Linked DNA regions of Canis lupus familiaris. The protein of the gene in region 3 purifies or fractionates together with the protein of the main gene of each other region. This does not show direct contact. Links are inferred from orthologs where the notes say so. Each region holds a gene or a part of one and is shown on either strand. Other genes may lie near its edges.

The links.
Region 1: the proteins of CAV1 (region 3) and KCNA5 purify together in Homo sapiens (affinity purification with western blotting, with the first as the bait; 3 studies listed by BioGRID). This does not show direct contact. The link is inferred for Canis lupus familiaris from reciprocal best matches to the Homo sapiens genes CAV1 and KCNA5.
Region 2: the proteins of CAV1 (region 3) and CTNNB1 purify together in Homo sapiens (affinity purification with western blotting; 3 studies listed by BioGRID and IntAct, with this or other methods). This does not show direct contact. The link is inferred for Canis lupus familiaris from reciprocal best matches to the Homo sapiens genes CAV1 and CTNNB1.

Annotation. Positions count from the first base shown.
Region 1 is NC_049248.1:6,280,383-6,283,864, forward strand, and holds KCNA5 (potassium voltage-gated channel subfamily A member 5), read left to right. Parts: upstream 1-1,078; coding exon 1,079-2,881; downstream 2,882-3,482. UniProt on the Homo sapiens protein: Voltage-gated potassium channel that mediates transmembrane potassium transport in excitable membranes. Forms tetrameric potassium-selective channels through which potassium ions pass in accordance with their electrochemical gradient.
Region 2 is NC_049244.1:10,793,234-10,796,880, reverse strand, and holds part of CTNNB1 (catenin beta-1), read right to left. Parts: intron 3,544-3,647; coding exon 3,399-3,543; intron 579-3,398; coding exon 475-578; intron 397-474; coding exon 58-396; intron 1-57. UniProt on the Homo sapiens protein: Key downstream component of the canonical Wnt signaling pathway.
Region 3 is NC_049235.1:55,589,327-55,593,073, reverse strand, and holds the start of CAV1 (caveolin-1), read right to left. Parts: upstream 2,547-3,747; coding exon 2,517-2,546; intron 1,260-2,516; coding exon 1,095-1,259; intron 1-1,094. UniProt on the Homo sapiens protein: May act as a scaffolding protein within caveolar membranes. Forms a stable heterooligomeric complex with CAV2 that targets to lipid rafts and drives caveolae formation. Mediates the recruitment of CAVIN proteins (CAVIN1/2/3/4) to the caveolae.

The DNA.
Region 1 (3,482 bases), on a different chromosome or scaffold from region 3:
CAAAGCTGCAGTTGCCAGCTCCAAACTTCACCGGAGAACAGCTCTCTTCCTCTCTTTCTCTCTTACTGGATTTTGCAAACCGGATTTATGCAGAGTGAGGAGTTATATGTCCTCAGGAATAGGAGACCAGGCAGTGAATTTGTCCCACGGGCCATGACTCTCTGGACTGCGAATCAGGGCTGTCCCAGGGCTATGGCAGGGGGTCACTGCCAGCTGTCAGCCGGTTACCTTTGGGTGGGAAGAGAGAGGCTTCTACACCTTGGTCTGGAGGTATCTCCAGCCCTAGGTATCTCTAGATCTATAGATCCCCAGGGCCCATAGCTCTGCCCAGCCTCTTCTTGTCCATAATTCTTCCCCAAGAAGATGGAATGGTTAGTTACTCCTCCAAAGGAGGATTGTAAAAGGGCTGTTATTTCATGTCTCATCCGTCCAACCCAAGGCAGTTCATTTCCCCTGGAGTCCACTTGGCGTTCAGCGGGTTCCCAGGTGAACTGAAATCCACAGCTATTCTCATCTGGTTGCCCTGGGAGTTTTGGCGCTGTCGGTACAACCTGTTCCTTCAGCCTCTCATTCCCCCCCCTCCCTCCCCCCACCTCCAGGCTGCTCCCTTCTCCGCCACACCCCCCCCCCCCAGTCGCCCCAGGCCCCAGCCGTGCCCTCCCTCCGGGGAGACACCCGCTGCTGGAGACCCAGGAGGGGACGCGGGGGAAGGAGGAGGGGAGGGGACGGGGCGGGGTAGGGAAGAGGCGGGAGAGCCGCGCTGGGTGGAGGCCGAGGCCGAGCGCCGCCCCGCAGCCAGAGAGGGGCGGCTGAAGGTTGCATCTGCTGGAAGGAGGCTTTTGGCTGCCTGGTAACGGGCTGCCGGAACGGAGAGCGGAGAGCGAGGCAGCGAGCAGGGCAGCAGCTTCCTGACGTCAGGGCCGAGCCCGGGGATCGCGCCAGCAGCCCCAGCCCGCCCCGCAGGGAGGCCGGCCGACGGCTGGAGAAGAGCCTGAGCCACGCAAGGCGCCCAGCCGGGCGCGAGCGGGGGCTCGGACGCCGGTCAGTGGGGGCGCAGCATGCCCCCTGCCCCCCGGCCATGGAGCTCGCCCTGGTGCCCCTGGAGAACGGCGGGGCCATGACCGTCAGGGGAGGAGGTGAGGCCCGGGCAGGCTGTGGCCAGGCCGTAGGGGGGGAGCTCCAGTGCCCCCCGACGGCTGCGCGCGGCGCCGGCCCCAAGGAGCGGGAGCCCAGGGAGCGCGGCCCGCCGAGGGGAGCGGACCCCGGAGCGCGGCCTCTGCCAGCGCTGCCTCTGCCTCGACGGCTGCCCCCGGAGGACGAGGAGGGAGACGGCGACCCCGCCCTGGGCCTGGCGGAGGACCAGGTGCCGGGCCCGGGCTCGGGGTCCTTTCACCACCAGCGCGTCCTCATCAACATCTCCGGGCTGCGCTTCGAGACGCAGCTGGGCACCCTGGCGCAGTTCCCCGACACCCTCCTGGGGGACCCGGCCAAGCGCCTGCGCTACTTCGACCCCCTGCGGAACGAGTACTTCTTCGACCGCAACCGGCCCAGCTTCGACGGCATCCTCTACTACTACCAGTCCGGGGGCCGCCTGCGGAGGCCGGTCAACGTCTCGCTGGACGTGTTCGCCGATGAGATCCGCTTCTACCAGCTGGGGGACGAGGCCCTGGAGCGCTTCCGCGAGGACGAGGGCTTCATCAAGGAGGAGGAGAAGCCGCTGCCCCGCAACGAGTTCCAGCGACAGGTGTGGCTTATCTTCGAGTACCCGGAAAGCTCCGGGTCCGCCAGGGCCATCGCGATCGTCTCGGTCTTGGTCATTCTCATCTCCATCATCACCTTCTGCTTGGAGACCTTGCCCGAGTTCCGGGACGAGCGCGAGCTGCTGCGCCATCCCCCGGGGCCCCCCCACCCCCCTGGGCCCGCCCGGGGGACCAACGGCAGCGCGGCCCTGGCGCCCGCCTCGGGCCCCACGGTGGCGCCTCTCCTGCCGCGGACCCTGGCTGACCCCTTCTTCATCGTAGAGACCACGTGCGTCATCTGGTTCACCTTCGAGCTGCTCGTGCGCTTCTTCGCCTGCCCCAGCAAGGCGGAGTTCTCTCGGAACATCATGAACATCATTGACGTGGTGGCCATCTTCCCCTACTTCATCACCCTGGGCACCGAGCTGGCCGAGCAACAGCCAGGCGGGGGAGGGGGTGGCCAGAATGGGCAGCAGGCCATGTCCCTGGCCATCCTCAGAGTGATCCGCCTGGTCCGGGTGTTCCGCATCTTCAAGCTCTCCCGCCACTCCAAGGGGCTGCAGATCCTGGGCAAGACCTTGCAGGCCTCCATGAGGGAGCTGGGCCTGCTCATCTTCTTCCTCTTCATCGGGGTCATCCTCTTCTCCAGTGCCGTCTACTTCGCAGAGGCTGACAACCAGGAGACCCACTTTTCCAGCATCCCGGACGCCTTCTGGTGGGCAGTCGTCACAATGACCACGGTAGGCTATGGGGACATGAGGCCTGTCACTGTGGGGGGCAAGATCGTGGGCTCGCTGTGTGCCATCGCCGGGGTCCTCACCATCGCCCTGCCTGTGCCCGTCATTGTCTCCAACTTCAACTACTTCTACCACCGGGAGACGGACCACGAGGAGCAGGCCGCTCTGAAGGAAGAGCAGGGCAGCCAGAGCCAGGGGACAGGGCTGGACAGCGGAGGCCCTCGGAAGACCAGCTGGAGCAAGGGGTCCCTGTGCAAGGCTGGAGTGTCCCTGGAGAATGCAGACGGAGCCCGAAGGGGCAGCTGCCCCCTGGAGAAGTGTAACCTCAAGGCCAAAAGCAATGTGGACTTGCGGCGATCCCTCTATGCCCTCTGCCTGGACACGAGTCGGGAAACGGATTTGTAAGGGGGAGCCCCGGCAGAGTGGTGGTAGTGGGGTGGGGATAGCAGAGACCTCCTGAGCCGGGGTACTGACTTTATACCACGGAGTATTTCAAGCCCACCTTGAAGTCTGTCCCTCTTTAGACTTCTCTCCTTCCCTCCCTCCCTTGATCCCCCATTTTTCCTCTTCTTTCCATGACACCAAGGGTCGCCTATTTTTAAAAAGTACCACATTCCATGACGCAGGAGCTGTTGAAATGGTGAGCACTACGAAATGGATGTATTTGTAGCCAGTTCCCTATACCCAGCAGAGGGATAACCCAAACAAAAAATGACTTTAAATAGCCAAGATCCCAAGGGATTTTGTAACCCCCTCCATGTGTTCCAAATTTGCTTTACATATGATTTTATTTGTGTATAGGGGAAAATATTATTTTTATGGCTGGTGAGTGGATTTTTGTACTGTAGTTCAGATGGAGATATTTTGGATACATTTTCCAGAAATGCTGTATTTATGGAAGAGGGAGTTATTGTGATGTTTTTCTGTGATAATTCTATTAGAGCCAGAGACCCTGGTTATGGCTGTTCTGGTTCCTGTTGTCTGTAAGCCTCTCTGTTTTCTGGGA
Region 2 (3,647 bases), on a different chromosome or scaffold from region 3:
AATAGCTAGAGGTGGATCATTTTCAATTCTGCAACCTATTTTTGATTGACAGTTTACCTTTATTAGAGGCCAATGGGATGGTGGGTGCAGGAGTTTAACCACAACTGGCAGTCCATAGTGAAGGCGAACAGCATTCTGGGCCATCTCTGCTTCCTGGTGTCGGCTGGTCAGATGACGAAGAGCACAGATGGCAGGCTCAGTAATGTCCTCCCTGTCACCAGCACGAAGGACAGTACGCACAAGAGCCTCTATACCACCCACTTGGCAGACCATCATCTTGTTCTTATAATTATTGCAAGTGAGATTAGAAAGAATTCCAGCTGCACACGTGACCACATTTATATCATCTGAGCCCAGAAGCTGAACAAGAGTCCCAAGAAGACCTTCCATCCCTTCCTATGGACATAAAAACAAATGCTCAGTACATATTCATCTTAATTCTATCACCAAGGCACTGGCATACTCAAAATTTACCTGTTTAGTTGCAGCATCTGATAGATTCCTTAGAGTCCAAAGACAATTCTGAACAAGACGTTGACTTGGATCTGTCAGGTGAAGCCCTAAAGCCTGCATTCCACCTAAGATATGAAAAAAGATCTAAGGTGATGGCCGTTAGCTGGCAAGTCCTATCAGCACTGTCTTCTCTAGTCTTAGAGAATGTCCCTTGTTACTGCCAAAGTTTACCCCCTCCATCTAAGTCCTTTATTTCATTTGTTAGGCTGTTGCTCAGTTTCCCTTTCTTTTCTAATTCACCTCAACTAGTGACAACTTATCGAGTACTGTTCCTCCCTATGTGGAAAAAGCCTCTGTTATCTCCACTGTCCTCCTTAGGTAATATTCGTATTATTTCCTTTCATCCATTCAATCATCCCAAAAATACTGACCAATACCAGGCCCTGTTTTGAGTTGGAGCTGTACCAATGGGCAAAATATTCTAAGGTCCCTACTCTCGTGGAGCTCACAGTCTAGCTGGAGGCAGACAATAAACAAATACAGTTAATAAACTGAAACTCCATAGTATGCCAGATGATGTTAAGTGCTATGGAAAAAAAAACAACACAAGAGGGTGGGGGCTACAATTTCAAGTAGTGTAATGAGGGCACCTCAGTGACATCTGAGCAAAGCAGCAAAGACCTGAGGAAACTATGTAAGACCAACTCAACAAGGCATGGGAACACTTATTACCAAGGATTACATGAAAGATGCTGACTCTAAAACACATGTCAGGAAGGTTTAGGACCCTAAGAAAAGACCTTTATATTGATTGAGAAGTCTAAATGGAAGCTTAATTCCCCACATAATGGGTTAACTTCACCCATCTCTCTCCTACGAAATCACTTCTGAATGTAGTGAGATACTTTCCTTGTCTCCCTGTTCATCTTTTCAGGTCTGTTTTATTTTTTATCTTATTATTATTTTAATCTTAAGTAGGCTCCACAGACAACGTGGGGCTTGAACTCATGAACCTGGAGATGAAGAGTCACATGCTCTACCAACTGAGCCAGTCAAGTACCCCTTTTCAGTCTGTTTTAAAATTAAGTCACCTCTTCTACAAGACAAGGATCATCCCTATCTGGTTCCTTCCTCATAGCACCTCCAGCTACTAACACAGGGACCTGCATAAGGCTAATGCTCAACATTCGTTAAATGACTAGATTCCCCTCAACCTTCTTTCCCCTCACAGATTTCATTCCCTCCCTTTACTATTCACTCTAACAGGGTGGATGATCTCAACCCCAAACTGCTTATCAGAATAGCCCATAGACTTTGAAAACACACAGTGATTCAGCAGGCCTAAGGTTAAGATAAGAGTCCTGTGCAGATGCCTCTGGGGCACACACCCCCTTTCCACCTACACTGACAGGTCAACTCCCAAATTTCTAGCCTAGTCTTCCCCTGCATTTTATAGTCACTCTGAATATTTTCACATCTTAAATTACCTTGTTCCAAATATTAACCAACCTATCCTGGTAGTTCCATTTAGTAACTTCTCATCTTCTATAAAACAAAGGCCACATTCTTTAGCGTAACATTAAGGAACCCTTTAGAATTTGGATCCCACCTGACACTACAAACTGAACTAAATATTCTACATCTGTGGTTCTAAAGCTGAAATACGGCAGGAATGAACATCTTACAGGCCTAGAAAGTCCTGCAAATATGGTCCTTGCCTAGCCCATCAACCTCATTCTGGGCTACTCACTCATTACTCATTAAATTCTAGTTACACACTCTTCCTCTTTAGCACTTAGAGATCAACAGGCTCTTTCTTACCTTTAGGACACAGCACATGTTTTTCTCTGCCTGGAAGGCATCTAATCCCCACTTCTCATATAACTAACAAGTGTTTTCTCATCCAGCAATCCCACTGTACATCCCTTTCTCAGGGAAGCTCCCTCCTTCCTCCCTCCCTGTTAATTCTGTATCCATATTTGCTGTTCCTTTCTCCCCTACAGAATTCATTCTTGGTTGTAATGCCCCCATCTTTTACATATTTTTGTCACTCTCACAGAATGGAAGAATAAATGCAGGGGCCCTATCTGCTTGGTTAGCCAATGCAGACCACGTGCTTATTCCAGTGCTTGAAACACAGGTGCTGAATATCTTCAGAACACACAAATGAACAGCAGAATAACCTAGCTAACTTCTTAAAATGGAGACACCTAGGTCCCCAGTCCCATACACATTTCCAGCTATCTACTGACGTTATCACTTCACTCCAAGGATTCCAATTAAATCCAAAACTCTGCATTTTTCTGCAAGCACTCCTCGTATTTCTGGAATAGCTGGCAGAATTTCATCCCCTTATTGAATATGAATGCAGCCACACCTGTCTGTCTCAGTGCCAGCTGCTATCCTGGGTAATCATAATGCCCCTCTCTCCCACAAATTCTCAAATTACTCTAGACAAGTGAGAAAAATAGGTGTTACCAACCCTACACTTTATTCCCAGTATTTTCTTCTAATAAATGCTTTCATATTTCTCCTCTTCCAATTTTGATATGAAACTTGGTTTCAGAGTCCAGGTAAATACTATTAAGTGGGTTAAGAAAGAACTGATGCTAGGTAGCTAAAGAGTAACTATCTTTATGATAAAAAAACAAAAGGCCCTGGTTGGTCCACCTATTCCTTTCCTCTGCTACTAACACGCACATAACATAGAGTGCCAAGTAATCAGCCATCATTTTTGATGGCTAACAAGAACTCTATCTAAATGAGGCTTAAACAGCACCAATGCAAGGTGTCAAGTAGCACATATATTTTGAATGTGATCTTGGCTGCAAACTGGTTCTATTCAGTTTCAGCCCATTAAGGTCAAGTTGTATTACCCTTTTCCTAAGACAAGTAATCTAATTAGAACTATAATATGCTATACACATGACACTCAGAATACTTACCTGCTTCTACAATAGCTGGTTTATTACTAGAGCAGACAGACAGCACCTTCAATACTCTGCTTGTGGTCCACAGGAGTTTCTCGTAAGTGTAGGTCCTCATTATATTTACTAAAGCTTGAGGTCCACCACTAGCCAGAATGATCAGCTAAAAAGATGTGTATATAATATTGTTAGTCTTGGAATATTCACCATATGCCCAAGAAAAGCCACACTACTTGGAACATTCACCATATGCCCAAGAAAAGCCAC
Region 3 (3,747 bases):
ATTATTCATAAATGTGCATAGTCTCTGAACTATGGCTCTTCCCAGCCCCAGATAGGAGACTGGGTAGGTGGAAATTGCTCATCTGCCCCATTGGCTGTTCTGGAGTTGTGCAGAACTGGGTCTTCACGCTATAATCTTCCAGGCCAGGATTTTCCTTGGCCCTCCCCACTCCTCAAAGAAAACCCTCTGCCAAGAATGGCTCAAGCCCATGATTTCCCAATCCAGATGGATTCGGACAATAAATTTCCCTGACTTAATTTGCTAAGAGGGTCAAAGTTGAATAATATAATGATAATCAAAAATTGATCACTGACTCAAATCTAAGTTTGGCCAATAGCTCATTCAGATGCCTTATTATTTTTTTTTAAAAAAATCACCAAACACATTCTGAAAATATAAAAAGGAACTCCAGCCTGAGTGTCTCATTAACTCGGGGAAGCCTGACCCAGGCAGTCACTAAAGAAGTGACTTTATATACCTAGCTAGGGGTGTCTATGGGAGAAATCCAGAGGCGCTCATTATTTTTGGTTGTGGAAATTAGCTTGGTCGTGCACGAGTACCACTTTTTCCCCCTCCAGTTAAGATGCTCTCTCTCCATATATGTGATATATAATATATCAATCTGAAGCATTTTTACCCACCTTATTATAGTTAAGAAAATAACTTGAGGTTACCCTGATTTGAGCTGGGACAACCTGCCCACTCGGTATCCCATAGATCATCGAGCCACAAAGAACTTACACAGTGACCTTACTTGCTTTAATTCTAGGTGCAATAGGGCGCCCCCCTTCGCTAGAGTTTAAGCCTGGGAACAGGCAAGAGGGTGCCCCGCAGGGCCAAGCGCCTCACTCGCCCAAGGAGCGCGGGCCAACCTGTCGCGGAGATCTGGAGGTGTGTTGGCCGGGGAGAAGTGGGGTTCTAGGAGGAGGGCAGTCAGCGAGATTCCAGCCGAACTAGCCGGCGGGGTGATGGGGGAGGGCAAGGTGGGGGGACTGCGGGGCCCCGCGTCCTCAAGCGCAGGAGGCAGCGCGCGCGGGCCCAGGTAGCGGAGGATGCTCGGAGCGCCCCGGGGCGGGCGGGGCCGCCTCCCCTACCTTGACCACGTCGTCGTTGAGATGCTTGGGGTCGCGGTTGACCAGGTCGATTTCCTTGGTGTGCGCGTCGTACACCTGCTTCTCGCTCATCTCCTCCGCCATGGCCTTGTTGTTGGGCTTGTAGATGTTGCCCTGCTCCCGGATGGGAACGGTGTAGAGGTGCCCCTGCGCGGGGTGGGGGGGGGACGGCGGGGTGCGGGAGGGGGGGGCGGAGATGGGAAGAAAATGTCAAAAAAGGCAATGCCAGAAAAAGGAAATGTCAAAAAGGAAATGTCAAAAAGGAAAACGAGCGGTGCGGCGGCCCTGGAGGTCGCCCGCCAACTGGCCGCTCGGGCGCCGCCGGCGCTTAAGAGGATGGAGGCGAGGACACCACACCCCTCGGTGCCCGCGGGGAGCCCCGGCCTCCGCCGCCCGCCGCCAGGGGTCAGCGCGCACCCGCGCCGCCCCCGCCCGCGCCCGCCCCGCGCGCCCCCCAGCGACCGCGGGGACCCGTCCCCGGCTGCGGGGCGCCCCTCCCCCACCCTGCTCTCCAGAAGCTCTCCGGCGTCTCCCTCGGGCCCGCTGGAGCCCCCGGGACCCCCCGGAGGGGCCCCCTTTCTGCCCCTTTCTGCCGCACCTCCCCGACACCTGCTGGCTCGCCGCACTCTCCGCGCCCCCCGCCCCCGCGGGGCTCAGCGTCCCGAAAGCGCCCGTGTCGGGAGCAGCGCCCCCCGCCCCCCTGCAGACCGCCCCGAACCGCGACCTCGCACCTGCCCGGCGCCCCCGACCTCCCCGACCTCCCGCAGGTCCCTCCTAGGCCGCCGGCGGGGCGCGGGGCGGAGGGCGAGTTTGGGGAGCGAGATCCCCGCGCGGACGAGGGGTGGCACTGGGAGGGGAGGGCGGGCAGGGACAGGAGGGGAGGGGAGGGGAGGGCAGGTCCCCCCTCTGCAAACACCCCGCCGGGCGCCGCGATGCTGGAAGGGTTCTTGAGGCGGCCCGAGGGCTTCGGGCGGTGCCAGCCGGTCCAGGCGCCTGGCGGAGCGGCGGGGACGGTCCCCCGGATCGCGGGGGGATGGCGGCGCACCCCGCGTCCCCGATCGCAGCCCCCCAGCGCGCAGGGGCTGGGCCGTGCGGGTCCCGACCTAAAGCAGCGCCCCGGGCCCGCCCACGACCCAGGAGCGTGCTCTGGTCCCCATCTCGGGACCCCGGGGCGCCCCCCGCCCCCACTTTCAGCCTCCCTCTGGTTTAGGGCCCGCCGGCCCCCCTTTCCGAAGAGCAGCCTGGACGACATTCCTGCCCCCTCTTCAGCTCCCCGCCCAGGCCCATTCCTCGGAGGTGCCCGCGCCGGGGGAGCGCCCGGCGGCCGACCGCGGGGGGTGGGGTGGGGGTGGGGTGGGGGTGGGGGCGCCCCGGGGGCTCCCCGCGCGCACCCCGCGAGCCTACCTCGGAGTCTACGTATTTGCCCCCAGACATGCTGGCCGGTGGCTGGGTGAAGGCTCCGAGGTTTCCCTGGGCTGTTATTCAAGGGAACCGAGGAAGGAAGATCTTGTATTGTGCAGGGGGGGGGGGGGGGGGGGCGGGGAGGCGCAGGCGGGGGGCGGCGGCTGGGAGGGAGCCTGCTGGCCGCGGGCCCGGGGCTTGCCGCGAGCGCCCGGCCGGGACCTGCGCGCCGGGTCCGGGCACATCCCCGGGGTTCGGCGGCGCGGGGCGGGGAGCGCGCGGGGAGCGCCCCGCGGGGGTGGCCTAGACCTGGGGCGCACGTCCCCGGGGGGCTCGCGGCGGCGTCCTGCGGGGGCGCGGGGTTGGCGCGGGGCGTCGCGCTCCTCCCCGCGCTCCTCCCCGCGCATCTGCCCGCGGAGAAGCCGCCTCCCCGCCCCCATCCCCGCCCGCCCAGCTCTCCCCCACTGTCACCGGGAGGAAAGGGACGAAAAAGGGCGCAGGACTTTTGGGCACGATGCGCCCCCGACGGCGAGCAAGCACACGTGCGCGCGCGGTGCAGGTGGCGACGCGCCGGCTCACACCTGGCGGCCCCGGACAGGACACACAGACACGCGGAACTCCAGTTTCCCCGCCGCTTCTGAAAGCCCCCCCTGCCCTGCCCCCCAACCCTCTGAAGCAAACGAGAATGGCAGGCTTCGCCCATCTTTCTGGAACTTTCTGGAAACTTATGCCCACACGTTGTGCCACATTTCCAAAAGACGTAAAAATATTTACAGTTGTAGGAATATTTAGTGGGAGCTTCAAGTTTGTCATAGAGGACTTTTTCTTTGCACTTTTTCTAATTTTTTTTTCTATTTTTTTTTTTTTTCTAATGCACTTGCCCGTGCGTTAGAGGAGACCCGGTTCTTCTAGGAACCGATCTGAAGTTTAACAAATCGTTAGCAGTTATTTGCAAATGTTTTCTCTATTCCTGAATGTGCGGCTGCTATCTTTTTATAAAGCGTACGCCTAAGGTGAATGGAACAATAAGCAGTAGTTTTACATCTGGGCTATGGAGAAGTCAAGAAGTTCACTGTCTTTTGGCCTGTGGCTCCATATGCAATCAGAAGGAGAACTAGAGGGGCGGCCCGGGTGGCTCAGCGGTTTAGCGCCGCCTTCAGCCCAGGGCCTGACCCTGGAGACCCAGGATCAAGCCCTGCATCAGGCTCCCTGCATGGAGCCTGCTTCTCCCTCT